Linked DNA regions of Canis lupus familiaris. The protein of the gene in region 6 interacts with the protein of the main gene of each other region in a pairwise test. Links are inferred from orthologs where the notes say so. Each region holds a gene or a part of one and is shown on either strand. Other genes may lie near its edges. The genes, in order: RORB, ESR2, CIB1, LDOC1, CEP70 and NRIP1.

Region 1 (4,949 bases), on a different chromosome or scaffold from region 6:
AGGAGATGGAGGGTGGGTTTGCTGGATTGGTCCCGAAGCGACCACTGAATCCTGAACCAAGTTTAGGTCACACAAAGAGGCCTGACTTGGGAGAGCTGCCAAATGTAAGCCGTGAAGCCGAGGCCAAAATCCCAGTCACTGGATCACCTTGGGATGGGGAGTGTGTGTGTGTGTGTGTGTGTGTGTGTGTGTTGGGGGGAGTATGGGGGAAATGGAGTGGATACACTGTAAAGCAGAGTTCAAAACCGTCCCCTCCCCCTGATGTAAGGCTGATTAGTAGCCCAGGCACAAGAGAAAGCTGATTCGTTTCCGCTCTCACTTCTCAAGTTCACACTCAAGTTCAACCCCTGACTCCCACAAGACGTCTGAGTAGCCCAGACCTTTTGTCAACTTATCCTTAAGGAACAGCCCCTGATGCTGCGGGAGGGCATAGCCTGTAGGAAGTGCACAGGGGTCAGGAAAGGAGAGCCTGGGAGGTGGAGAAAAAGACTCTGCCACCTTGTAAGCTTCCTTTTCTTCCAGGGCGAGCACCCCCCACCCCCTTCCCCCTCGCCGGAGAGCCGCTTTAAGTTAGGACTTGTAAACTCTTCTGGGCAGCTTGGCGAGGGTGACAGCCTTCTGGAAAGCGAGTGAGTGTGGGCTGTCGACTGGTTTCTGAAGGTGAGCACTAGGCGAGCGCCTGGCTTTCAAGCCTTCAGGCTGCTGGAGCCCGAGGCGATCCGGACTGTCTGGCATAGTGCTGCTTCAGGAGCAGCGCGATCAAGCTACAACCCACTCCTGCCCCGCACCGCCGCTTTCTTTAATTTAAGGGGGAGAGCGAGCGGCTTTTGCGCCGCAGGTCCTAGTGCCGGGTGGGAGCCGACACGACGCGTGGTTTCCGACCATCAGAACGTGGTCCTGCCGTGGGAGGAATGTTGGAAGGGGAGAAGTAAGGGAAGGGCGACCCGGCGGCCCCAGACCCGAGCAGGGGAAGCCGAAAGGAGGGGGATGGTGGTGAGACGGGGCAGAAACAGCAAAACAAAGACTGGGGTGGGGGCGTCTTTCCCTTACAGGTTCTATACTCGCCAGTTGCCCGAGTACAATTTTCTGAGAGAATCTGGACGATGCCGCATGTGACCAAACCCCCAACTGGGACACTCAACCGGAACCGGCTCGCAAGCCCCGGAGCTCCCACTCCGAGTTCGCGGGGTCCATCACCCCACCTGGATGGCTAGCTCCCTCCCACTCACTTCCCTGGACAACCTCTCTGTTCTTCCCCCTCCTTCCCTTTCCTGCCACGTCCCAGCGCCCAGCCAGTCCCTGCCCCGGCGTCCAAGCTCCAAGCTCCGGGGTTCACTTTGTGCGGAGCACGAGAGCAAGCCCGCTGCGCCCCGCCCCCCAGGGCCCTCCTAGAGAGGTAGGTGCTGGCGGGGGAGGGGGCGGGGGGCGGGGGGCGGGGGCGAGTGGGAGAGGTGCACTGCCGGCTAGAAGACGAGGAGCGTTTGCAGTCCGACCTTCCCTAGCTCTACCTGCCTAGTCCACCTGTCGCCGGGTCAGGGACGTAGGGAGGCCCGGGGCTGGCCTCTCCAACTTTCTGTTTGTTGCCAGGCCCCGGAGGGCGTGCGACGGGTAGCGGAGAGCCCCACAAAGAGCCGTAGAGTGGCCAGGAAGAAAAAACGGGGCGAGGCAGGTGCCCGGAGACTTGCACACGTCCCCACGGCAAGCTGGCTCTCGGCCCGCTCTTCAAGAAAAGAGTAAAGTTGTGGCCAAGCAGAAAGTGGGGGGGAGCGGGTCCGAGCACAGCGCGCTGGAGACCCGAAGGTCCCGGCACTGCCGGGGAGGAGACCGACGTAGTGGCTCCGTCCAGCCGGCCGGGCCGTCCACTGGGCAGCGCCGAGGGGACCCAGGGGAAGCCTCTCTCGCCCGCCCCCGGCGCGCCGCCCCGCGGCTGCCAGCTCGCCCCAGGGACCCGCCGCCGCCGCCGCCGCCGCTGGGGGTCTCGGCTCCGGGGCTCACCCAGCGGCCCCTTGACAAAAAGAGCATCCTCGGCCGCGGGGGGCGCCGGCTTCTCAGTCCTCTGGAACTTTCTCTGCGCAACTTTTTCGGGGCGGCGCTCGTCCGTGGACCGCGCGGGCTCCAGCACGCGGACCTGGCCAGGGCGGAGCGCCGGCGCAAGGGACGGGCGCGGGGGCCGATGCAGCGTCCGCGTCGGGTCCCGCGCCCGCGCCCGCGCCCCCCTGCCCACCGCTGCCGCGAGGCAGGGCCGGGCCAGCCCGAGTCCGTGAGTCCGTGCGCCCGCGCCCCCGCGCCCCCGCGCCCCCGCGCCCCGCCGCCTGCCCGTGCGCCCCGCGCGCCCCAGCCCCGCAGGCCACCGCCGCGCGCCGGGGGCTCCCAGCCGCCTCGTGGGGCCGCAGCCCGCGCCGGCTCCCGCTCCACCCGGCGTCCGCGGCCGCAGCCGAGAGCGACGAGCACAAACGGTTCGGCGAAACTCCTGGCCCGGGAGGAAGCAACTAGCGCCGCTCCTCTCTCCAAAAAGCGCCCTCCTGCGTCCCTCCAGAACTCCCGAGAGGCATCCACACCTTCCCACAACTTTGCACGCCCGAGGCCATCGGCAGCCCACCTGCGAGCGCGGACCCCAGCCCCGCGCCCCGAGAGCCCCTTCCCGTGTGCGGGGTGCGCTCCCCTCCCCCCTCCGCAGGGGCCGGCGGTGGCCGGACCGGGGACCCTCTCGCTGTCCGCGGGCTCGCTTACCTCGCATGGTGTGGCCGCTCTCCCGCTCCGCGTAGTCATGAAGCTGCTCCCAGCCCGAACCCCGGAGAGCCCAAAAATCCTGCTCAGCACGAGTGAAGAAGGTGGTCGGCAAAGAGCTGCTCCGCCGAGAAAACCATCCCTTTAGGCGGACGCCGTGGCCGGAGGGTGACGTTTGCCGCCGCCGCCGCCGCCGCCGCTATGTTAACAGTTTTGATGATGGTGGTGATGACTGTTTTGATGGTTGTTTGGTTGTTTGTTTTCAGGAAGGGTGGGAAAAAAAAAAAAAAAAAAAGGTGCTGTCTGGCTGGTGCCCGGGTTTTGTTTTGCTTTTGTTTTTCTTTTTTCTTTCTCTCTAATGTGCTTGCTTTTTAAAAATGCCACCGCCTCCGGCTTAGAAGATTTCTTTTGTGATCACTTGGACTGAGGAGGAGGAGGAAGGGCAGAAGCAGCAGCAGGAGGAGGAGTTGGTGGTGGTTTTGTTAGTTACAAAGAAGAAGGAGAAGGAGCAAGGGGTGGGGGGGGGGGAAAGGAAACAGAAAAGGAAGAAAGGCGGTGTGGATGGCAGAGCATGTGCGTTTTCACATGACATCTGTGCCTGTTAGCGGATCCAGTGAATTTTCACTGTTCAGTTACAGGGAGGAAGGGAGCGAGAGAGAAAGAGAGGAGAGAGATGGAGAGAGAGAGAGCCGAGAAGGGGCTTATACGCGAGGGCGGGTTTGGCCGGGACTCCCAGGCCCCGCCCGCTGTCAGCGCCGCCGCCTATCAGCGCCCGGCAGCGCTCGGAGGGGCCGGGGCCGGGGCCGCGGGGGAGGGGCCGCGCTTCCCGGAGGCGGGCGGGGGTGCGGGACGCGGCGGCCCGCGGCCGGCCCGAGCTGACACTGGCCGGGGAGACCGTCCGAGCTGGGCAAAGGAGCGGGCCCGGCCCGCGAGGGGCGCCGACCCGCAGGGGACACTCACGTCCGACCCCGGAGGCGGGGGAAGGCGCTGCCCAGTCCTTTCGGAGGCGACGGCCGTGCGGCTGCCCGGGTCCCCCGTTGCGTCCGTCTCTCGCAGCCGCCGCCTGCCCCGAGAGTGAGTTCTGAGTGCCTGGCAGCGCTCTGCAGAGTCCTCTTTCGGTAAACTCCGAATTTCTGGCGGGGCTTTTCGTGGCAGCAAAACGCCAATCAATTTCCATCACGTTGAGCGTGACCAAACTGCAGTCCCGTGCAAGGGCCATCCGCTTCCTTGAAAACCATCTTTCAGATGCTTCCCGCCCCGAATCCTAAAAACAGGAAGCACGACACACTTAAGATTTCTTCAGGGTGGTTTTTATTTTTTTTTTTTTAATTATTTTTTAAAAATGTTGTAATACTTTCTTTCGTCAAGGAAATTTTTATTAGCATTTGCAAAATCTCCTGGCATTGCGCTACCTCTATTCAAGGGTAAGAGCCCCAACTGTGGCTACCTCAGTGGTGCCAGGGAGATGGCTGAGGCCAGAGGGATGACTGTGTAAGTGCTGTTTATTTGACAAACGTGTAGGGCTCTAGGAGGGAGGACTCTTAAGCCCCTGGCTTTGAGAAGACACTTCTCTATTTATTGGAGACTGACAATTAAACGTGAGTATTTTGTATTCCTTAGGTGAAAACTGTCATCTATGACCATTTATTTGTATTTTGATAAAAATCCAGTGCATATGTCAAACCTGTTCCTTTGCAAGTTTTCCTCTCTCAGTGGACACAGTAAACACATAGTGATCACATCTACTCCCCGCCCCCATCCCCACCATAGTAGGTTAATTGGTCCCCTACAAAGCAGAGAGGGGAGAAATTTGCTTCTCTTACTCAGTCTTAAGCCATTGAGGCTTCTACTCATTAGCGTACCTGTTGGCAGAGCAGGCCTCATCATCATTCACCTGCCCAAATAATTTGATTTTTTGCTCTATTCATATTATGTCATGTGACAAAAAAAATGCAATGCAAAATTGGCGATTATTTAGTTAATTACTGCACTCTACACGGCCAAGTAGTTTGTCCCTCCCTGTTTAAATAAGAAAATGGATTACTTGCTGAATCCTCCCTAGTGCTAAATTGACTTAGCCCTGCTATATGCCCTTCCATTTGCAAGCCAATGTGTAATTTAGGAAAATTTTAGTATTAAGAGTGAAAGTTGATTGAGTCTTTAATTAAATGAAATGAACAGAAGGAAGTCACTGTTCAGAATAGTTATTCTCTTATAAATAC
Region 2 (4,931 bases), on a different chromosome or scaffold from region 6:
ATTTTCTTCGGTACAAAGGAGGAAGGAGCCTGTGGGCACTGGGTACTATTCAGGGACACCCGAGAGAGGGAACAAGGAAAGCCGAGATTGGCAAAGCATCTTGTCTCTATAGTCTTACACAGGTGAAGCTGGTCAGCCGCACACCCTCCTGTTCAAACTAACTTCTCTGCCTCCAGGATCAGGAAACCCTGCCTTACAACCTGAGAGCATCCAGGAGTCCCTGCTTTAATGAAAATTGAGGGCGTGGGGCAGTAGAGATTGTATCTATCCACTGTTTATAAAGTGGGTGGCTCTCCACATTTGGAGCCTGCTTTCACTACCTGTGGACCTCACTCTCCTAAACCCAGAGCACACTAGAGTCGGCTTGGGCCATTTTTGGCTAAACCCCAACACTTGAGGCAGGCATTGTAAGTTTCCCTCCAGATGCCCTCTTGGTCTTCTTTTATCAGAGATCTGGAGTCACAACCAGATCAAGAACCACGTCCCTTATGCCACGTGTATGGATAGTTTGATGATTAATTAGACACAAATGTGGCACTGGGGTCTGAGAATGGCTTATGGGACATATGCAACTTACCATTGGATTTTCGCCACCAGTGGCTGCCCTAACGCCAGGTGCTGCTTAACGACTAGGGAAAGTCCTCAGGCTGTGGGCTGTGCTGCAGGGTGGGCGAGGAGAGCTTGGGGACTCCGCAGACCTGGGGGACTGGAGCTGCCACCAGGGGGCTCAGGCCTGCAGGGAGCTCCACGGAGGCCCTGCGGAGGGAAGAGGGGCGCCGCCAGCGGCAGAGGCAGATGTCCCCCCAGCTGCCTCTTTTGGCAGCGGTGAGTGAGGAGGTTCCTGGGCTCCTTGCTCTAAGGCGAAAGGCCTCCCCAGCCGGCCGCTCAGAACCCGCACCCGCCATCTACCTCCACGGCCTCGTGGCTTGGCCTCTCCAGGGGCACGAACCTGCCCTTGGGCCCCGGACTGAGAAAACCCAAAGCCTCTCTAGTTTCACCACTGGATTCTTAAGAGTCAGATTTCTGGGGGCACCTTCCGTGGTTGAGCCTCTGCCTTCCGCTCAGGGCGTGATCCTGGGGTCCCGGGATCGAGTCCCACGTTGGGTTCCCTGCACGGAGCCTGCTTCTCCCTCTGCCTGTGTCTCTGCCTCTCTCTCTGTGTGTCTCTCATGAGTAAATAAATTCTTAAAAAAAAAAAAAAAAGTCAGACTTCTGTATTTAAATGACCCCGAAGCATCCACTGACAGACCCACGTGGGGCACGGTCTAGGGACGTGAATCTTCAAAGTGTGGCCCCCCCACCGGGCAGCATCCGTTTGGGCTTGGTCCTGCACCGGGTTGGAAATGCGCATTCTCAGGCCCCGCCCCAGACCTCCCAAACCCAGGCCGGCGGGAAGGGCGCCTCGAGTGCTCGCTCCCCGGGGCTTCTCCCTCCGCCCAGGTGAGTGTGGATGGCGAGACACGGGGAGTCCGCGTCCTCCCGAGATTTCTGGGCAGCCGGCTCGGTGGTCACGTGGGCTCTTGGAGGCTTTCTCCGCCGCCCCCGGGTCTTTAAAAGGGAGGAGAGGCTCCTCGTTAAGTCGTTGGTGATCTTTGCAGCGTCTCCGGCTCCTGGACCTGTTGAAACCGGGTTCGCGCCCCTGCAGCCAGGCAGCCCGAAGCGCCGAGGGGGCGGGGACCGCCGGGGAAACTTGCGGTGGGTGGGAGGGGGCGGCGGGAGCGCGGAGGGGGACCGCGGCGGCGGCGGGCGGCGGGCGGCGATCCAGCTGCGCTCGGGCTCCGGCTCCGCTCCGGCTCCGCTCCGGCTCCGCGCCGCGCGGTGGGCGCGCTCTCCGGCCCCGGGACCGCGGGGCCCGCGGCGGGCGGCTGCTCCGGGAGAGGCCGGGCCCGCGTGACAGAGACCCCTGGGCGCCGTGCACCTGCAAGGTAAGGGCCCCCCGGCCGGCTCGAGGTGGGACTGTCTGCTCCTCTGTGTGAAAGCCAAGGATGCGAAAGCAGCAATATTGAGAACAATGACAGACCCCCGCCTCCGCCCGAAACCACTTGTCTTGAAAACTATAGGAAACAGAAATTTCACGCTCTAAGTATTTTCACTCAAGACGCTGGCAAGTTAATTTAATTAGTTTGTGCCTGTAAACTCCGGATTGATACGTGTCTTTTTGAAAGAAAAAAACTCTAGATTTTTTCTTTCTTTCTTTTCTTTCTTTTATTTTTCTTTCTTTCTTTTCCTCTTTTTTTTCTTTCTTTTCGTTCTTTCTTTCTTTCTTTCTTTCTCTCTTTCTTTCTCTCTTTCTTTCTCTCTTTCTCTCTTTCTCTCTTTCTTTCTTTCTTTCTTTCTTCTTTCCTCCTATGGATTTCCCGAAAAAGGGTGAAATGATGAGCGTGGGAAAGTTGAACGAGGACTTCATGCTTGAGTTTTGTGGGCCTGGGAAGGTGTACGTGGATCAAGCAGGTGACCGGTGTTTTAAATGTATTAAGTGCCACTGCTCAGTGATATAAAAAACAGATTTGCTTCTGTCCTGGGTGAACTGAGCAAGATCTAAGATCTGGTCTGTTTTATTTGCTGAAGAGGAAGCCAGCTGCTCTTCTCTTGTCCCTTTGTGTTACCATTCGTGCCTGATTCATTTCGGAAGCCTAAAATTAAGTCAAGGGAATAATATTTTTTTGTAAAAAAAATTTGGGTTTGAGTGAATTTCTATTTAGGAAAACCAGGTTGACTCAATTTTACTAGCTTTTTAAAAAAGCAGCTTTGTGCTTTGGTGTAGTACACAACCCTTTGGAGGTAAGATTTTTGCCTTACTAGACTTTTAGTATTTTCATGGACATGCCATTGGGAATTTTTACTTTTAAGTTTCTGAACTCACAGTGGCTATTATATGTGGAGAAAGGTATTCGTTACTTAAGTGAACATGTGGAAAGAAAGGTTTCTGCCGTTAAGTATTGTAAAAAAGTATGTGTTCTCTGACTATGACACTTCTTCTTTGCCTTTTATTTTTTCTGCAGAAAAATCTATATTTCTGCATATACTCAAGAAGAGGGAGAATGTAAGGTGTTAAAGCATAATCTTAGGATCCATTTTACATTCAATCTTCTTTTTTTCAGTTGAATTACTGAAACATTCTTATTTCAAAAACAGCCAGTCTCCTGTAACTCTTAAGACTTGAAAATCTCTGAAATCTATTAAAAACACAGAATACATTTCATAGTGGTTCTGAGGGACTCAAATGAATCTAATGACCTTTTCTATTCCTCAGTTTACTTATAATATGGAAAAGGTAAAATTTAGTAGTAAATTTAACCCTTCAAAACATAATTAACATCTAATAGATATTGAAATGTTCATTTTTAAGAGTAAAACACTACAGTTTTCTATATATCTATATTCAAGTAATGGTGCAAAATACATCTGATAATTTTAGTTTATGTTTTGAGCCACTTTATATAATACTTGTAAATATGTAATGATTATATAAAACACTGAAGGCTGAACTTGAATCATTTACTGGTAAGTTTTTTCCTAATTACATCTAGAACATTGAGAACTGTATACTTGAATGTTACACTTCATAATTTAGTGGAAATGGACATTATAGCCATTTTAAAAAGGCAGGTTCCTGGCAATATAATTTATATACAGTAAAACCTAGCCTCTTTAGGTTACCCTTTATGAATTCTGACAGTTGCAACATTTATATAATCACTTCTACAGTCAAGACCTAGAAGAGTGCCATCACTCCCAAAAGTCCCCTTTGTGTGTTTGTAATCAGCCCCCCCACCCATCCTCACCCCCTGAAAAATCACTGAACTGTTCCCTAATTTTACTGTTCTGTTCTTCAGTATGTTTTTACCCAGAAATAATTAATCTTCCTATGCTTTTTGCAAAAGAGAATCCCAGTCTCCCTCAACCCCCCTTTTTGTTGGGATGAGTCAGGTTGTGGTATTTTTGTTTTACTCCTTATATACTTTGGAATGAATTGAGGCAAAGAAAAGCTATTTTGCAAATGGGACTGTTAGGTTCCCATTGGGCTAATAGATTTCATTCTTAGCACATTCGGATTCCATTGTGGGCTAAGTCTTTTGTTCTGGTGTGCATCTGGATTATCACCAACTGAATACAGGGTTTTTAAAAAGAAACATTGGTCATTTATGTAATATTAATAGAATGTATTGTATTTATATAACTAGGCATTTAAAAAATACTTTTATTATATTTGAGAGTACAAAAGTTACCTGAAATTACGTACGATTAATTAGTGAGGAGCAGAAAAGTAATTAAAAATGGCAATCTGGAGACATTGAAAATCTAATATAGAGTGATTGTGACTTAAGTTAAAAAATACTGTCCTTATTAAGAGTTGAGGTCTGTGCCCAATTTATGTGTTGATGTCAGAGTTTTTCCATTTCTGTGCTCATGCTTTGAAATCTAGATTTTCTTGCAGGACATATTCTTTACTGTTTAATGCATTATTCAATTTAGAGAATAGCTAGGAGTCTGTTATTGTTAAGCACTCCTAATAAAGATATGTCAGATGATGTCTTTTTCCTTTCTCCTTTGTGCTATGAAAAGAGGAGGCCGTATTTTCTACATGCAGCTTACCTTTCAGAGAACTACAGAGGCAGTAACTAGGATAAGCAGAGTGGCATGCTGAGGAAGCACCAGCAAACTGAGTGGTTGGCATTCCTAGCTGGAGGTTTTATACCTCTTCATAAATTAAGGGCCTTCAGCGGGGATTCTGGGTATGGGTGTACTTAACAGAGAGCAGGAGAGTAAGGGTCACTGTCAAGGCAGCTTACTGGATTTGGTATGTTTCCTCAAAGCAAGACTGCAATGTTTGTGGGTAAATGTTCGTGTTCAACTGAAACCCAGGACCGGAAGAGGAGATGAGTGCATTCACTTTAACTTCTGCGTTGGTCATGACCTCTTCATTCACA
Region 3 (5,064 bases), on a different chromosome or scaffold from region 6:
AACTTAGAGTGAGAGACATGCCAAATAGCACAAAATATTGGTCCCTCCTCTATACAAAAAATCTACCAGGAACCAAAATTATAATCAGAACAGTTGTTCAATGAAAGGTTCAACACTAAGTGAGGTGGCTAAGAGATCTTTGTCACAACTGCTCACCAATGCAACTTCCAATTTCCATATCTTCACTATCTCACCGCAAAGTCCAAGGACCGGCATTGGCTGGCCAGTGCTCCTCCCCCTCGGTCTAGTACAGGAGACACTACGACAACTTCCTGTTCTTTGCCTATCCTTTTACTAACCAAAAAAAAATTTTTTTATGATCTTATTTATTTATTTGAGAGAGAGAGTAAGAGAGAGAGAGAGAACATGAGAAGGGAGAGAGAGAGAAGCACACTCCCTGGGACTCCATCCCAGGATCCAAGAACCCCGGGATTATGACCAGAGCCAACTCAGGCACCCCTAACCGAACTCTTCTTATACAGAAAGAGCCCTAGTGTCAAGATGATTGGGTTGGGATGGGACCACACTCACTTTGGTTGTGGTGTTCCCACTGTTTTGCAGCCTCCACTTCTTGGAATGGAATATTTCCACAGTGGTGGGACTCACATGTTGAAAGAGTGAGTCTTACTAAAGTCACTCTCAGATGAACAGCTTATTGATTGCTGGGGTTAGCTAGTCATTCATCAAACATTTACTCAATTGCCACCCATCAGATACTGTAGATCACGATTCTTGCAACTCTTCATGGAGCTTACAGTCTAGTGAGGGGAAGAGCTACAGACATTAATCAACACCTAAGCAAACATAAGTTCAAACATGCTACAGTGCTGTTGTCAAAGACAAGGAAGCCCTGGATACTCTGGAAGCCTAAGATTCCTAATCTAGTCTAGGGAACTAGGAAGGGCTTCCCTGAGGCTAACAAGTAAGAGCAACGGAGAGCCCATTGTGACCGGACCCCGGAAAGCCAAGAGAAGAGGGCAGAGAGAGACTGAAGTCAGATTTTTGAGGGCCGGTATTTAGGTTTTTAACCATTTATTAGTTTTAAACTGAAATCATCATGATCAGATCTAGACTTTACAAAGATCAGCAAGTAGAATGAATCAGGAGAATCAAGAACTAACCCCTACTGTTTTGTCAATTATACATCAATAAAGGTGAAAACAAAATAATCTCACCTCCACCTCCTCTCTCAGCTTGGAATCCTCGCCTTCTAGAACAGTGTGTAGGGTTCTTCATGCACGCATGAAATTTGTTGAGAGCCTACTCCGTGCCAAGCACCGTCCTAGGATTGACAGGGGACAAGCTCAAACAGCTCAACCTCAGTCCCCGCCGCCTCTGGACGCGGGGTCGGCTCAAGGGAGGCCTACAGACACGCGGAGCGGCGAGAAGAGCCTTGGACGGGGGTGACGGCTCTCCACATGCCCGAGCCTAGACAAGTCACCGAATCCTCTCCCCACTCGGACCTGCTGTCCACATTTGTAAGACGGGAACCTACCTTGTAGGGTGAGCATCGAAGATCACTATGCACGGCTCCTGCGGTCTGCAGACCCTCAGCGTACAGCCTCAGCGGGCCTGGGGGCTCCTGCAGGTGGCATGCAGGCTGCAACACGTGCGGCGACGGTGCAATGGAAGCGTCTGGAAGAAAAAGCCCTCGCTGCGCGCGAGTGCGCGGCAGGCCGCCTTCGGCCACGTAACAAGTCTCGCGCTTTCCCGGATTTCCAGGCTCCGGGTACTTGCCTGGGGCTCGGACCGCGCCCCAGGGAGCCGCCGCCACCTACAGCAGCGGAGAAGCACGCTGCGCGACCCCGGCCGCAAGCTCCGAGCCGGGCCATGGCTAGGCGGCGGGGACGCGCACGCATGCGCAGCCCGCCCGCACCCCCGCCCGCACCCCCGCCCGCCCGCGGCGAGGCTCGCCCCGCCCTGCTCGGAGGCGGGGCCGCGCGGCCTGGGCTCCGCCCCGGAGCGTCCGGCCCCGCTCCGGGCCCCGCCTCCAGCTGGCCGCGGAGAGCCCGGAGCGGGGAGCCGGGAGCGGGTCGGCGGAACCGGACCGGCAGCGCCCGGGCACTTTAAGGAGGGGGCGGGCCCGGGGGCAGCGGCCCCAGGACCGGTTGCCGCGGGGACAGGGCGGTGACGCGGCCCGAGGGCGGAAGTGGAAAAAGTTGCCGGCGCCCCGAGGCAAGTTGGCGGAGCCGTGCGCGCGGCGCGACGATGGGGGGCTCGGGCAGCCGCCTGTCCAAGGAGCTGTTGGCCGAGTACCAGGTGCGCGGGACGCCGGTCCCCGGGGAGTTTGCGCGCGGCCCGGCGCTGGCGAGCGGGGTCCCGGGGCGGGCAGCAGGGCGGGTGCGGCCCCCGGGAGGCCCGCTGAACCCCTCCCGTTTTGCCTTCCAGGAGTTGACGTTCCTGACCAAGCAGGAGATCCTCCTGTAAGTGCAGCGTCCAGCCTCCGCAGCCGGGTCCTCTGGAGGCGGCTGCGGGGGGCTCTGTCCAGGCGGGCAAACGGAGGGCCCCAGAGGGAGGGGCAGGGGCGCGCCCGAGGTCCGCAGCCGAGCCGGAGCCGGAGCCGGCGCCGGGCCCCGGGCCCCGAGAGCTGGGCCGTGCCCTCCACCTCGCCGCCCCCGGCCGGCTGGGCACCCCCGGGCCTGCGCCTCGCTGGCTTCCGCGTGACCGAACTTCCTGCCCGCGCCCGGCAGGGGCTGCTGTGGCTCTCGGTGCGCCGCGCCCCGCGGGAGCCTGGCTCCGGGCAACTTGGCCCGAACTGACGCGGCAGCCGTTAACGTTTACCGAGCGCGCGAAGCGGTCGCCTACACGACCTAATTCAGTCCTCAGGAGGGAGGTCCCGCGGCAGGGAAGCAGGTTTCAGAGAAGTTTGGTAACTTGCCTGAGACTACATTCCAAGGAGGAGGATTTGAACTCGGGCTGGAACCCCCTTCCTAGCCGCCTGCCAGCTTTTTGCGGTCAAGGCACTTGAGCGAGGAGATTCCTGGGCTTCCCTTGGCAAAAATAATCCCAGTGGGAAGGAGGTGAGGGCTGAGGAAGAGCTCCTGTAGGGTAGTTGCTAAAAAAAAAAAAAAAAAAAAAAAACGGTGGGAGGCTTTGAGGAGCTGGAGATCCCTGCAGTGAGATGGGAGACATTTCGATTTTACTCTTTTTCCTGTTTTTCAGGGGCAACTTCTGGCTCCTTCTGCAGCCTCTCCATCCCCCAGGGAGCTCTAGAACCAATGCCCAGTACAGTGCCTGGCACACAATAGGCCCTTAGTAAATGCCCATTGCCCGAATGGACTCTCAGTGCAGTTTTGTGTCATATGTGACAATACACATGGGGGTTATATATATCGTCTCCTTTTGGCTTATGCTTGATGACGGAGAGGTTCTATGTATGTGCCTTAGCTCCCCACTTGGTGTATAACGGATAACAAGACAAGGAGCAGGGGATGTGATGCACACTGGAAGGTTTGCCAACAGGTTCCCTTCCTTCTGCCAGAGCCCACAGGCGGTTTTGTGAGCTGCTTCCCCAAGAGCACCGGAGTGTGGAGGAGTCACTGCAGATCCGAGTGTCCTTGGAGCAGATTCTCAGCCTTCCAGAGCTCAAGGTAACAGTTCGCCACCCTCCCTCCGCTACACGCCTTGAGATCATGTGGTCACTGGTCCCCATTCTGGTCTTCTCTCCACTTAGCTCTAATTTCCTGAGGACTAGGGCTTTCCCAGACTCACCCGGTCAAATTAACTGGAATAGTGTTTTTCAAGCTGGGATTCTTGGATATGTTCTTGGGGAGTCAAAGAAGTTTTGTCTTTATTTTTTTTATTTATTATTTTTAAAAAATATTTTATTTATTTATTCATGAGACACACACAAGGAGAGGCAGAGATACAGGCAGAAGGAGAAGCAGGCTCCATGCAGGGAGCCCGACATGGGACTCGATCCCAGGTCTCCAGGATCACGCCCCGGGCTGAAGGCGGCGCTAAACGGCTGAGCCACCGGGGCTCCCCCGAAGTTTTGTCTTTAAGAGGAGTTGAGCTACCTTATTAAAGTTTGAGAAACCTTATTCCAGAGGCCGATTGCCTCTCCATAGGGTTGCTGTGAAAAAATTCTTTTAAAGATTTGTATTTATTTATTTATTTGAGAGAGAGAGAGAGAGAGAGAGAGAGAGAGGAAGGAAGGGAGGGGTTGGGGTAGGGGAGCAGGGAGAGGGAGAGGGACAAGCAGATCCCGCACTGAGCACGGAGTCCAATGAGGGGCTCGATCTCATGACCCTGAGATTACAACCTGAGCCCATGACCTGAGCTGAAATCAAGAGTCCAATACTGAACTGACTGAGCCACCCAGGGCGCTACTACTAGGAAAATGTTTATGCAAAGGGCCTGGCCTAGTACCTATAACACAGTAAGTGTTCCAGTAAATGTGTTTTAAAGTAACCAGCCCATCCTGTTCTCTTTGCTTAGGATGCTTGTCTTCCTTCTCTGCTCCTGGGCCTGCCTTTGGGTTAAACTGACTCACAGGAAACCATCCCTGTCCCTTCCCCAAGTCATTTGGTCCTCCTGCCCTCCATGCTGGCCCTAAAACATTGATCCTCGTCTCCCGTGAGCCTGAGCTCATGGAGCGGGTACTGTGACCTGCTCCCCCAGGTTCCTGGTAGGATTTGAGGAGTGTGTGACCTGGGCTGCATCTGTGGCATTCACACCAGGCTCTCTTGCCTAGGCCAACCCCTTCAAGGAGCGAATCTGCAGGGTCTTCTCCACATCCCCCGCCAGGGACAGCCTGAGTTTCGAGGACTTCCTGGACCTCCTCAGTGTGTTCAGTGACACAGCAACTCCAGACATCAAGTCCCACTATGCCTTCCGCATCTTCGGTGAGAGCCAGGAGCAGCCTGGCAGGACACGGCCTGGTCCCTACGTGGTCTGGGCGGTGGCATACTGCTGGGGGGCCGGGGGGCCTTCTGTGGAGCCTTGGAGCTCACCCTGACCACATTCATTCTGGCTTCCCATGTCCATCTCTAGACTTTGATGATGATGGAACCTTGAACCGAGAAGACCTGAGTCAGCTCGTGAACTGCCTCACAGGACAGG
Region 4 (3,939 bases), on a different chromosome or scaffold from region 6:
TTTCAAAGAGTTCTTCTCAGCACCCCCACCCCACTCCCTGAATGCCTCGGAGCCCTCCAGGCCCACAAAGAGGTCTCAGCATAGCCCAGATAGCAGTACAAGGTCTAGTTCAGGAGACAGTCAGTCTCCAATTTCCATAGGCAGGAATCTGGGACATATGTATGGGTGGGGATTCTAAGACAGTGCACCCGGGGTGCTGAAATGTTAAGATCACGCTCTATTTAGTATGGGTTCACTCACACAGGATCCAGGGCTTAATGTCAGTTCAAGCACCTGAAAGGGGCATTAAAACAATATGCTACGTAGTTAACTGAAGTCTGAACTCAACAGCGCCCCGCGGGCAACAAGACTTAAGGGACAGAATTTCTCTGGCAGTGTTGAGTAAGGAATCCAAAGGCTCAAGAAGATAATAACATTGTATGTGTCCAGATTTATGCCTGTTGTCCTAGTCTAATTATTAACAGTGTCCCCCTTTAACTCTCAAGTGTCCCAGTTTGGGATGGTGTGCCACCTGCTCAGCCACCCCTTACCCATGCCACCCTGGAGGCCCCAGAGGACACTCACTCCTTTTGCCAGGGCTTTAAGAAATGCCTTGGTGAGGAGAGTACCAGAATTCCTAGAAAACCCTGTGGTAGTTGTCCTCTGTAGCCTAGAGATGACAGTGGCGAATACTGGGACTGAACTAAGTTCCCTGACCTCAGGGGGCATAACGGGAGTCAGAGTGAGATTGGAAGAGGCCAATGATAGCACTTAACCATTAAAAGACACTCCTTTCTTTATTTTTGTAGTGCTTGATATTTATTGAAAAGAACGTAAATGCTTTTTTCCAGGTGGTATTGAGGAGCTGGGCTGAGTGCCTGTTTTTGTTTGTTTGTTTTGTTTTTAGTATTTCTGTCCAAATGCACACATCTGTTGGGACTGCTGCAGTTTGGAAAGAAAAAGGACAGCTGTGCAAAACTGGTGCATAGGAGAAAAGAAATGTCAACAATTTGGCTGCCAGGCGCACTAGGCCCCTGCAGCAATCTGGTGGGGAAGGGGAGGACCCTGGGAGTAGGCAGGGAACTAACCAGGTTGAAAGACTGGCCCCTTCAGGGGCTGGTGAGCTGTCCAAATCAATGTCCAAGGACATAGAGCCAACTCAGGCATCTTCTAGGTTGGTCCTTATTTTCAAAGGCTGTGTTCTGTCGCTGGAATGTGGTGGACGGTGGTGAAGTGGCAGCGTAGGTCTCTGGGCAGATGGAGGCCTTGCAGTCGGCAGGGCAGGGCTGTGCGTGGTCTGACCAGTTTGTAACAGGGGCCTGCCCTATAGCTGGGGCTCAGGACACAGTCCAAATCAGCAGGGGAGGGCCCCGGGGCTGGCCAGAGTGGGTGGCGGCGCGCTTCCGAGCGAGGCCCCAGCAGCAGGTAACCGGAACAAAGGCAAGCACTACAGGGGGATGACGGAGAGAACCGGAGAGCTGGGGGTAGGGAAGGGGATGGGAGGGCGGAAGGGCGCTGGGCGGCTCCGGGCCGGGCAGGAGAGGCGGGGGAGAGGATGGCGGCGTGCAGGGCCCTCCCCCCTGGGCCCGAGGGTCTCCCGGCCTAGTAATCATCTTCCTCGTCGTCGTCGTCGTCGTCTTCTTCGTCGTCATCCCAGCCAAAACACTGTTTCATCTCATCGAGGAAGGCCCGGTAATCACCTAGGATGGGGCTATCCATCTCAATGTAGGGCACCACCCACTCCTCGGCTTCCCCGGTGAGCAGGCTGATTAGGAATGCCACCTTCATGGCGTCGTTGCAGAATCGGTTCTCGTTGACGAGCATGTAAGACGCCGTCTGCACGATAAACTCGGGGAGCCGGGAGCTCTCGCCGCTAAACGTTTCGGGGAAGGGCACCGGGCAGCTCGGCGGACGTACCTGGCGCAGCAGGGTGGCCCTCTCGCACACCAGCAGCCGCAGCTGTTCCATGAGCTGGCTGTTCTCGATGCTCAGGGCGCGGTGCCGCATCAGGAGCGCGTGCAGCAGCAGCACCAGCTCGTCCACCATGGCGAACGGCTTGCAAGCGCAGGGCTGGGCTCGGCTCAGGTGCGCACGGAGGCCTCGCAGGAAGTGCGTGTCCGCCGAGGCGCACGGTGGCCAGGGGCGGAGGGCGGTGCGCGCTGGGGTCCGGCTGCTGCGCAAGCTCCGCCCGCACAGCCACTCGGGCGGCCGGCGCGCCGGCGCGGCCCGGGTCGGGGGGCGTGGTCAGGGCGCTGCCGGCGCCGCGAGGGGGCGGGGCCGGGGCGGGGCCGGCGGGCCGGGGGCGGGGCCGGGGGCTCGGTCCAAGGGAGGGGGCGGGCGGGAGCCGGGGGCCCGCGGCCGGAGTTCCCGAGGCCGGCGCCCGGGAAGGGCAGGCTCCCGCGCTAGAGCCCCGGATGTGCGCCCCGGGACCGCCAAAAGCCAGCTCAGAGAGGGCCAACCTGCTCAACTTTAAAGGATCGGTCACGCTCGGACTCAGCCGACTCACACAGTGCGGGGCTCCTTGGTGGGTCTGTGGCTACGAGATTCCACCTGCGCGTTTCGGTGACACACGTCCTCGCTTATTGAAATCCCACTCACCCAGGGAACTGCTGGCGCTGCGGCCTGCCCCGCGGGAGCCACGCATCCTTTCGGAGTTGCGAAAGACCCTTCCTTGGGGCTCCTCTTTGAAAACAAAACAATATCTAAATGGGGTTTTTTTTTCTTTAGTTGGGAAACAATATTGTATACCTACATCCTTTTTTAAAAAGTATTTTTTTCTAAACAGTCAAGTATAAAAACTTCTGCAAAAGCACCACTGGAGAACGATTTGCAGGCTCTCGCCTCTCTTTGACCCTCTGTTTCATGTCCTGTTAATGCCCCTTGGCCCTCGGTCGCATGTTGTTTGTTGCTTAACAATGAACACTTGTGTTTTTAAATGCTTTGGGCTTTCTACTTTGAACTGGATTATTTAAATCGTTGAGTCCAGGACCCTAGAGCTGAAATTTTGTTGGCTCTGCTTTTAAAATATATCCCCAGATCAGTCACTTCTCCCACTATACCACCCTGATCCAGCCTTCCTTATCCCACCCAGACTGCTGCAACTGCTTAGCTTTCACTCTTCTCTTCCTGCAGTACACACAGGAGTCCCTCCTGATCCACGGTTTTGCTCTCCGGTGCTTTCAGTCACCCGTGCCAAGGGTGGTTTGATCCGGAATCAGCTGACCCTCCTTCTGACCTGGCACCAGAAGATCAACCAGTAGCCTGGCGTCGGATCACTACGCATTCTATCATCTCACGTCATCACAAGAAGGGTGAGTACAGGACAGTAAGATACTTTAAGAGATATTTTGAAACTTGCATAATAGTTATGTGTTACAAACATTCTATTTTATCACATGAGCTAGTAATGTCTTAGTGTGCCTAACTTATTTAAATTGTATCAAGTACGTATAGGAAAAAATATAGTCTATATATAATTCAAGACTATCCTCAGTTTCAGGCATCTGCTGGGGATCTTGGAACAGATTCCCCTGTGGATATGGCCAGGGAACGAGTGACTCATGTCTCAGGGCAGTGGCTCATATTTCTCAGTGCCCACTCTCTCCAGAGAGTAGGCACAGGAATCCTTTTGAACAAAAGTGAGAACTTTTTACTCCCCTGCTCAAAATCATCCCAACAGTTTTCCACTCTCACTTGAAATAAAAATAAAATAAAAATAAAAATAAAAGCAAAGTCTTGGCTGTGGCCTGCAAAGCCCTGCCTCATCTCCTGTGCCTATTCCCATTTCCTGTTCTGCTCTAATCACAGTATTCTTCTTGCTTATTCTCCCCACATTATCAAGTAGCTCTGGCCTCAGGATGTTTGCATTTTCTGTCTTCTCTGCCTTGCGAGGCACTCTCCCCAGTTAGCTGCCCGACTCCTTCTCCCACTGTTTGAGAGAAGACTTTCCTGACCACCTCA
Region 5 (3,590 bases), on a different chromosome or scaffold from region 6:
CTTGAACTCACAACCCCAAGATCATGAGTTTCATGCTATACCCCACTGAGCCAGCCAGGCTCCCCTCCTTTTCTAATTTAATTTCCTATGTCAAAGAGGCATTCTTTTAAAACAAATTCTTTCAAATGAACTATATAGAAAAAAAAAATTCATCGGTGAATAAATCACCTTAAAAAGTGTTTTTAAAGTAAGATAAGTTACTTTTATAGCCATATATAATCATACTTAAAATAAGAGCCTTGGGTCTCTATTTTGCCTGATTCCGAAGGAAATTAGATTTTTTTTTCCCTTTAAGAGATAATACTAATAACAAAACCCTCAATCTGGCCAAGAATACAAATAAATCTCTTCCCTTATACAGATTTATGAATTTATCTTTCTTTCTACAGATATTCACTTTACATTACTTATCACCCGAGAAAGAAATTTAATTTGTATATTTAAAAAAAACCCACAGTAGGTAAGCTGTTAAAAAAAAAAAAAAAAAAAGGGAGGAAAAAAAACCCTAAAAAACTAAATACCTTCAAGATCATAAATTCTATGAAGATTTCTCATTAGGCATGACAGAGTCAGGGTTAAACTGGGCCTAGCCAGAGTAATGTCATTTCTCATTTTAAGGATATGTGCTTCTCTGTTTTGCACACCAACCTCAACCAACTCTAATTTTAAGTCAGGAGTGTGTTTCCAGAACTGTTAGTGGTTTTTAGACACTTCTACCAAAACACTATAGGTAAAAGTACTAATAAAGTGACTATGGAACACTCACCCCTCAAACCCCCTGACTTCTTAAAACTTGAAATTTAACCACTATCAACAATAATCTTACCTAAGATTTCAAGTAGATCATTAGTAAATGCCTGAAATGCTGGGAAAAATTCCTCATGTTCTTCCAATTTGTTGATAATGCTTTTAAAAAAAAATGCACAGTTTACACTGAATTTCCAACTTAAGGTTCTTGTATCTGATTGAAATAAAACATTTTCAAAATGGAAAATTTCCTGCTAATTTCAATATAAATTTAATAATCATTTACTGCAATCCTTCCTTTTTGAAGTCTTTGTTCATCTAATACCACTTTTCTAAAAAAAAAAAAAAAAACTTATTATCAGTCTAAATATGTGTTCCAAATTAATGTAACACTCCTAATGTGAAAGCTTTCCACTTAACTTGAGAATTTTTAAGAGACCTTGCTTTTTAACATTTTCTAAAAATTGTTTTTTATATCCCATATTCTATGAAACATTAAGAATAAGTATCAGTCATCTAAATGTGGGAAGGGAAAAAAGACAAATATATGTTCCTTTTAAAAGCATCAAGTATCAGAAAATTCATGTGTCAGATTAGGTAAGGATCTTTGTAGAAAACTTGCAGAATATATGAATAGGTGGTATATGTTATGTGCTCCTCTTCCCCTATGTTGCGTATAAAATTGAGGGTGGAGGGTGGAGGTGGAAGAGTTGCTTTAAGTATATCTATAATGTTTCCATATTTCAAAAGAATGTTTTTAGAGTTGACAAGCTTTAAAAAAAATCTTTAACATTTATCTTCTAATCAAATAATAAACATACTATTAGCAATTGTTAAGTGACCTATGGTAGTGTACTAAAAATAGGACTTGTTTATATAGTCTGAACACTAACATGAAGTTGCTAACAAGGTGTGAATTTCTCCACGTATAATTTTCCTTGGGAACAGGCTTATAGCAATAATGCTTGAGTTCTGACCCACCCTATGTAAACTTATAGGCCCTACAATCTATTTTTATCTTGAAAATGCATGGCATTCTCTCCATTGATAAGGTGTGAGATTATTTTATATTGTCAAGTTATTTAAAAAGCTATCCCAAACAGGAAAGGTAAATAACTTATGAAGCTTTGAAAAGTCTTTAATTTCACCACTCCAAGCATTCTGGATGATACTTTGCAAACTTTTTTTTTTTTTTTTTTGGCAAACTTTTTAAAATAAATACCTTTGGAGGTCTTCAGGTCCCAATACCTGCATAACCTGTTCATTCATGTTCTCATTAATCACCCTACACAATTTTCCAACTGTGTTCACTAACACACACAATGAGGATGAACTATCTGAAAGAGAGAAATAAAAGGATATCTTAAAAGAGAATTTTCAACATCATAAAATTAAATCAAATACCCTATGCTTCTGTTATCCTCAAATTTTTACTTTCTATTTTTTAACCTACTTTTTGTTGATTTATTAGGAATAATTCTTAAATGGGGGCCAGAAAGAATAAAGAGTTATCACCTAATTCTAAGAGTTCTTGGAGGTTTCTCACAGCATTGTTCATTTCTCCAAGCCTAGTATAAACTTCATTCATTCGAGGATAGACTCCATTTAAAGAAGGCACATCAAATAACTTTTGGAAGTGAGACACAATAGCTTGCAAAGTTTTTAAGTTTGGCATATTGCTGTCCTGTCCAAGAGAGAGGGATAAACAGTTAACATGTTAAAATAATCCTAAAACTTTAATGAAAACTTTAAAAAGAGAAATAGAATCTTAATAGAACAAATATCATTATCTGTATCACTATCAATTTTTAAGATAAGATTACATTAAAATATGAACATTTACATAAGTATTAAACATTACCTTTTCCTTATTTTCAACTTCTTCTAACATGGTATCTACTATAAACAACAGATCTTCAACTCTAATACCTTCATTTTCATCATGCCTTTTTAAGTTATGCCAAGGCACCAGTTCTGTAGATAGTATTTTCAAGGACTTATACAAATCCTTTATAACAAAAGAAACAACATGGTATTATTGATTTTTAAAAAGACTCCATAATAATGTCAATATAATATAATTGTCCAGGCAAGTTTAATATATATAAACCATCATCAGTACTTTTTAAAAAAATACCATTACTAGTTTAGAAAAAGTCTGTTAAATGTGTGTTCTCCAGGTAAATATAGGGCTTAGAAAAAACAATGATAATATTGGTTATCTCAAATCTGGATGTTTAAAGTAATGATGTTATTTATTAGTAGTATATGTTATTTAAGTAGTTATTTTTAAACTACTGATATATAAAAAACAAATTCATCCTTCATATTTTAGCCTTAAACAATTTTATAACAGAATTATGGAGATATAATTCATATAAAATTCATTCCTTACAAGGGTACAATTCAGTAATTTTAATCATTTTACAGAGGTGTGCAACTATCACTATTCTTTAATTTCAGAGCATTTTTATCACCCCCAAAAGAAATCCCATACTCATTCACTGCCATTCCCCATTCTTTTCTATCCCCAGACCCTGGGTCACTATTAACATAATTTCTATTTCTATGGATTTGCCTATTCTGGGCATTTCACATGAAGTAGAATTATACAATAAGTGGCCTTTTTTGACTGGCTTTCCTTCACTTAGGATAATGTTTTCAATATTCATCCATTGTAGCATTTATTTCTAGGTAGCTTTTTAATTTGAAAAAATAATTAATTTATAAGATTCTAAATTAAATTAACTCTACTTAATCTTCATGACAGCCTACTTAATTCTCTTGGTCAAGACAGGTTGTCCTAATCTATTTTAAGATTTGCACAAAGGACAAAAGCTAAT
Region 6 (4,972 bases):
TTTTCCCACAGACATTAAACATGGTTTTCAATTGCTTCAAAAGCACTGTAGAGATCTCACTTGAGTAAAGCAAACAATGAGCAGTTCTCTCTCTCTCTCTTTTTTTTTTTTTTTAATATGTATTGAACTGACAGTCTTAGGGCACTTTCAGAGGTAAGTACGGAAAGAGGTATTTCCCCCACCAGACTGAATGAAGCGGACTAGAGTTAACTATCCCTCAGTCTGCAGAGGAGTAGCTGTTCCATTGACTGATTCTTCTTCTTTGTCTCTAGGAACTAATTCCAGACAGAGAAAAAGTTACTACTGGTGATGAAGCCACTACTTTCTGAACCAACTAAACCCAACTGACATTACCAAACCGCCGGACAAAACCAAAACAACTTATTTCTAAGTTGAAAAACATTTCAACACACTCTAGGCAGCAACCCACACTTGGGCGCCAAGCAATTGAAACATTACTTGTTTAGAAAGTCCACTTATTTCAGTGTCTCTTCCACGAAGGTAGCAACCTGGTTACTAAACACTGAATAATCCGTCGGGAAAATACACCCACTTGCTAAACCTGTGATTCACTAATAAGCAGGTTCCATGGAATTCATAACTTTAAAGAATGAATTACCAAAGCCTTCTGCTTCACAAATCCCCCACCCCCAGAAATGCAAAAGCATTCATCGTATAGATCCCAACAACCATTTTCACTTTGGACATCAACAGACGGTCTTTCTTCCCCTAAAGACAGTTTTTCACCCCCCGCACGATCTCACGATTTAATCATTTACATTACCGGAGACAAACTCCAACTCAGCCCCACCGGCTGAGTGAAAAGTCCCTGTAGCTAGGGACGTCTTCCTTTTCGTCCGAAATAAAATAGCCTATTAAGAAATGTAACGCAAAAGTACTCATCACTCTGTTCTTCTTTCACTATCTTCAGCAGCCAATTAAACCACTAATAGGATGGGAGATGGGACCGCCTGTAAGGCTTCAGAGATCAACATGTGTCAGACTCCCAGCCTGTTGGCCCGTGAGACACAGTTGATTCCTTTGTTCCTTCAGACTGCACAGCAACTCTTGGTGGAAATTTGGAAACTACTTTGGAAAGGACGGGAGGGTTTGTAGAATATTTCCAGGGAAACCGTGCATAAAACAATATTCACTAGTAGCTAAGGAGGACACAGATAAGAGGGGAAGGAAGCCTCCCAGGACCTCCGCAGGGCTCACCCCAAACGCGAGCCCCGCTTGGGGCTCAGGGGGAGTGATGGGTGAGGCCTCGGGTGCAAAGAGCCTCGCCCTCGGGGGAGGGCTGCGGCGGGGGCGGGGGCGCAAGGGCCGAGCGGCCGGGCCCGGGGGCCCGGGCAGGGCCAGGAGAGCTGTCCCTGCTCCTGATCACTTTTCTTGGCCCGGAATCCAGCGAGCGCGCCGCGCCGGCAGGCACCGGGCGGGAGGCGGGAGGCGGGGGGCAGCGCCCGGCGCCGCCCAGGTCGCCCCGGGCTGCAGGACCCGGAGCCGCGCGGCCACACGCGCCCGGGCTCCGGGCCGAGGGGGCAGCCGAGCGGGGCGCGACCGCCGCCTCCGGGGAACCCACCGTGAGCCCGGGGCCAACTCCGCAACTTGCCGGGCCGGCCGCCTGGGCCCCCCGAGGTCCCGGGAAGACCCGGCGCCGGCAGGAGCGGCGATGCCCCCGCCCGCCCCGCCGCCCCGCCGCCCCCGCGGCCCTGCCCGCCGCCGCCGCCGCCGCCGCCGCCGCCGCCGCCGCCGCCGCCGCCGCCGCGCTCCCGGGCCGTTTCCGGCGGCGCCCGCGGCAGCTCGCGGAGCTCCCGGCGCCCCCGGCCGCGGCCGCCACTCACCGGAGGCCGCCGCGGCTCCGCGCCCCGAGCTCCGCCAGGCTCCCGCGGCTCCGCGCCCGCCGCCCCGTCCTCCGGCGCCCCGGGAGCTCCGCTCGCACGAGCAGCGCCGCCGAGCGCAGGGGCGGCCGCGGGCCACGGGCGGGCGTGCGCGGGGCCGGTAGTCCCTCCGCCTCCGCCTCCGCCTCCGCCGCCGCCGCCGCCTCGGCCGCCGCCGCCGCCTCCGCCGCCGCCGCCGCCGCCGCCGCCGCCGCCTCCCGAGTTCGGGGCTCTGCTGCAATGTCTGCGAGGCTGACTTTGAGCGCCTCGCTCGCCGCCCGCCCGCCCGCCCGCAGCCGCGCTCCTCCCTCCGCCGCCGAGTCCGCCGCGGCCCGGTCCCTCCCCTCGCCGCTCCACGCCATTCAGCTCTTCAGCCAAGTTTCTTAACCCTTTTCTCCCCCTCCCTCCCATGGCCGCCGGGGCAGGGGCAGCCTCTCGGGGCCCCGCAGCTCGCGCGAGCCGAGCCCCCGCCCTGGGCGCCCCGCGGCCGGCGGGCGGGGGCTGCGGGCGCGGAGGCGGCGGGAGGCCCGCGTCGGGGAGGGAGGGCCGGGGGCTGCCCGCGCCGCCCCCCCGGCCCCCGGCCCCCGGCCCCCGGCCCCCGGCTCCGTGCCGCCGCCCCTGCCCGGACAGCTGCCCCCCGGCCGGGGGCTCCCGCCGCGACCCGGGCCGGGGGCTCGCGCTGGGGGGCCGGGGCAGGCGGCCGGCACCGTCCCCTGGCGCCGCACGACACGCGCTCCGCGGCTCCCGCCCGCCCGCAGCCTCCCCGCCCGCATCCGTGTGTCCTGCTTCACTGGGGGGGGGGGGGGGCGGGGGCGCCAACTCCGGGCCGCGCGGACCCCACGCCGCAGCCCGCGGGAGGCCCCCAGGGCCCGAGGGGGAGCGGCTCCGAGGGCGAGGCTGGGAGGGAGACCTGAGGAGCGCGCGTCCGGCTCCTCGGCGGGCGTAGGACCCAGGAGCAGGGCTTCTCTCCGGCTGCTTTGTCACCGCGAAGTCCCCGGCGAGCCCGCCAGCCAATCTCCAGCATCCCGGCCAGAATCCGACCCTCTAGCAGCCCAGGCAAAAAGAGCAGGGCTGCCACCTCCTCGGCGGCCCCGCTCTCGGCTCGGTCTCCCGTACGAGGTGACAATTACATCACGAGGCCGTGGCGGCCGCGCCGGGGAGCCTCCCGGGTTCCTGCGGCCGAATCTCGCCGAACCCGCCTCTGAACTGGGGGGATCTGGGGTGGCGGCGAGGGAAAGTGCAGAGGAGACAGCGTCCTACGAACCGTGATTCCTCCCCCCACCCCTTGCCTTTCCTGCTTCAAAACCTTACCCCCAGTGCGCCCCCGAACACCGTAACTGAACTATTAACACCCCTTCCACACCTCCCCAGACGTCAGGTTTCTTTCTGACTCTAGCATCTAGCAGTTAGTAACTCGCCGTGAAAAAAAAAAAAAAAAAAAAAAAAATTACCAGGGGAACTGAATGTCATCGCCGAAATTGTTTTTTGCTTCATTAAAACAAACATAACAAACCAAACCAAAACAGAAACGCTGAAGTACAGCTGAACCCCAACCTCGACTCCGAGAGGGCATGCCTACGGTAAAGCACATTATACAAAACTTGAGTGAATGAGGCACTCCATTCTTATATATAGGTTTTCATACCCTTAAGAATTCTATGACATTTGGAAATAGAGTACTTAAACACCAAAAAACCCACTATCCTAGTCATGAAACAGTTTTCTATGCCTGTTATGTAATGGCTGTGCTGTGCATTTAAAATTTCATTTAACCTTTCAAAATATGAATGGAAGTTCTGCCATACCTTCAAATCTTAAGAGTGAAAGCAACGCTAAAGATAAATCCACCACCTAGCCCAGTGCTGGGCACAGGGTACGAAGGGTTTGCTGAATGGTGATGGTGCATTTTAGAACAATTATTTTACATCACCCTAGTGATTCAACTGTGCAATCTGTTGCCATCTTATATAGTTTACACTTCATAGGATGACTTATTGTGTGTATGTACCATAGTTTGAAATCTGCTCAAGGCAACTTAGTCAAGCCGGCTGTTCTACATGCATCATTATCTAGGGTTGATGCAAAGCGAACTGTTCCAATTAAGTGATGATCAGCAGAACTGGCATCTGGCCCTTTAAGGAGTCAAACTTCTTTAAAAACAACAACAACAACAACACTGTTAAGTGCTATACAAAGATTTTCTAAAATGGGTTATTTTTTTTCTTAAGCAGTTTATTGGACTTCATTTGGCTTTTCTTGAAAATTGAGGGTTAATATTATTAAAAGTGTTTACTGTGGTAGGTTGTAGTGGATTCAACGAATACATCAAGTTTCTATTCTACATCAGGCTTCTTCCTAGGTGTTAAAAGATGCTCCCAGGAGGTACATACACCATTAATGCACTGAAGGACTCTAGGATGTTAGGACTTAGTGATTTTTTTTTTTTTTTCTGCCTTTTGTAGTTCCTCTATTCCCCTTCGCTGACAATCTGTTGGCCTTTTTCTCTGTTGCCACAGCGGGCCTGTCTCTAATATTTTTCTCCTCTTCTGATTGGCAGCTTCTGGTCTGGGGCAGACTGGGAATCTAGATAACCTCCCTTGTCCCAATTCAGTAAAGTAAAACTAAATAGGTCCTATAAGAAACTGATGTGCTCACCAAGGAGTAAGACACATGAACCTCAACGCATAGACTTTGGGACAGCTATTCAGACTACCCAAATGTTGCTTTGAAAAGCATTAGTGTTCCTCCTTAACTGGGTTTTGGATCATCGAGGCTGGTAGATAAACAGTCTTCTAATAAGTGAGGTTACACTCTTGACCCAACAAGCAGAGTACTGGTCCTGCCTTCCAATGCAAGTGTTAGAAAATCTACCGCCATTTGTTAGCGGACTTAACAAAGCCTTTCACCTCTTACTAATCTATCTCTTCAACCCCACAAAAATCCAGTCCCTGAAATCCTGAACTCTTTTTGATAGGGCATCAGTGAAAGTAAATTGCGCACCTTTTGTGGGATTCATTTTTACTTAATCATGCTAATTGTGGTGGGGCTCTTTTGTTGTTGTTCTTTGTTTTTGAAAAATCAATACCTAAGTT

Evidence for each region.
Region 1: the proteins of NRIP1 (region 6) and RORB interact in a two-hybrid assay, tested with the Homo sapiens proteins (2 studies listed by BioGRID). The link is inferred for Canis lupus familiaris from reciprocal best matches to the Homo sapiens genes NRIP1 and RORB.
Region 2: the proteins of NRIP1 (region 6) and ESR2 interact in a two-hybrid assay, tested with the Homo sapiens proteins (2 studies listed by BioGRID, with this or other methods). The link is inferred for Canis lupus familiaris from reciprocal best matches to the Homo sapiens genes NRIP1 and ESR2.
Region 3: the proteins of NRIP1 (region 6) and CIB1 interact in a two-hybrid assay, tested with the Homo sapiens proteins (2 studies listed by BioGRID and IntAct). The link is inferred for Canis lupus familiaris from reciprocal best matches to the Homo sapiens genes NRIP1 and CIB1.
Region 4: the proteins of NRIP1 (region 6) and LDOC1 interact in binary tests that used the Homo sapiens proteins (3 or more experiments, as listed by UniProt). The two-hybrid records come from large-scale screens. The link is inferred for Canis lupus familiaris from reciprocal best matches to the Homo sapiens genes NRIP1 and LDOC1.
Region 5: the proteins of NRIP1 (region 6) and CEP70 interact in binary tests that used the Homo sapiens proteins (3 or more experiments, as listed by UniProt). The link is inferred for Canis lupus familiaris from reciprocal best matches to the Homo sapiens genes NRIP1 and CEP70.

Annotation. Positions count from the first base shown.
Region 1 is NC_049222.1:84,343,589-84,348,537, forward strand, and holds the start of RORB (nuclear receptor ROR-beta), read right to left. Parts: upstream 3,453-4,949; 5' UTR 2,738-3,452; coding exon 2,731-2,737; intron 1-2,730. UniProt on the Homo sapiens protein: Nuclear receptor that binds DNA as a monomer to ROR response elements (RORE) containing a single core motif half-site 5'-AGGTCA-3' preceded by a short A-T-rich sequence.
Region 2 is NC_049229.1:38,987,029-38,991,959, reverse strand, and holds the start of ESR2 (estrogen receptor beta), read left to right. Parts: upstream 1-1,815; 5' UTR 1,816-1,925; intron 1,926-4,931.
Region 3 is NC_049224.1:53,673,084-53,678,147, reverse strand, and holds the start of CIB1 (calcium and integrin-binding protein 1), read left to right. Parts: upstream 1-2,012; 5' UTR 2,013-2,208; coding exon 2,209-2,259; intron 2,260-2,388; coding exon 2,389-2,423; intron 2,424-2,843; exon of another isoform or gene 2,844-3,020; intron 3,021-3,481; coding exon 3,482-3,590; intron 3,591-4,696; coding exon 4,697-4,847; intron 4,848-4,995; coding exon 4,996-5,064. Other genes in the region: GDPGP1 (GDP-D-glucose phosphorylase 1), read right to left, coding at 1,176-1,236. UniProt on the Homo sapiens protein: Calcium-binding protein that plays a role in the regulation of numerous cellular processes, such as cell differentiation, cell division, cell proliferation, cell migration, thrombosis, angiogenesis, cardiac hypertrophy and apoptosis.
Region 4 is NC_049260.1:112,048,486-112,052,424, reverse strand, and holds LDOC1 (protein LDOC1), read right to left. Parts: upstream 2,173-3,939; 5' UTR 2,026-2,172; coding exon 1,582-2,025; 3' UTR 758-1,581; downstream 1-757. UniProt on the Homo sapiens protein: May have an important role in the development and/or progression of some cancers.
Region 5 is NC_049244.1:35,241,888-35,245,477, forward strand, and holds part of CEP70 (centrosomal protein of 70 kDa), read right to left. Parts: intron 2,756-3,590; coding exon 2,609-2,755; intron 2,432-2,608; coding exon 2,263-2,431; intron 2,085-2,262; coding exon 1,970-2,084; intron 1,080-1,969; coding exon of another isoform or gene 1,019-1,079; exon of another isoform or gene 962-1,018; coding exon of another isoform or gene 910-961; exon of another isoform or gene 907-909; coding exon 827-906; intron 1-826.
Region 6 is NC_049252.1:12,381,268-12,386,239, forward strand, and holds the start of NRIP1 (nuclear receptor-interacting protein 1), read right to left. Parts: upstream 3,138-4,972; 5' UTR 3,011-3,137; exon of another isoform or gene 2,791-3,010; intron 1,902-2,790; exon of another isoform or gene 1,845-1,901; intron 1,164-1,844; exon of another isoform or gene 785-1,163; intron 1-784. UniProt on the Homo sapiens protein: Modulates transcriptional activation by steroid receptors such as NR3C1, NR3C2 and ESR1. Also modulates transcriptional repression by nuclear hormone receptors.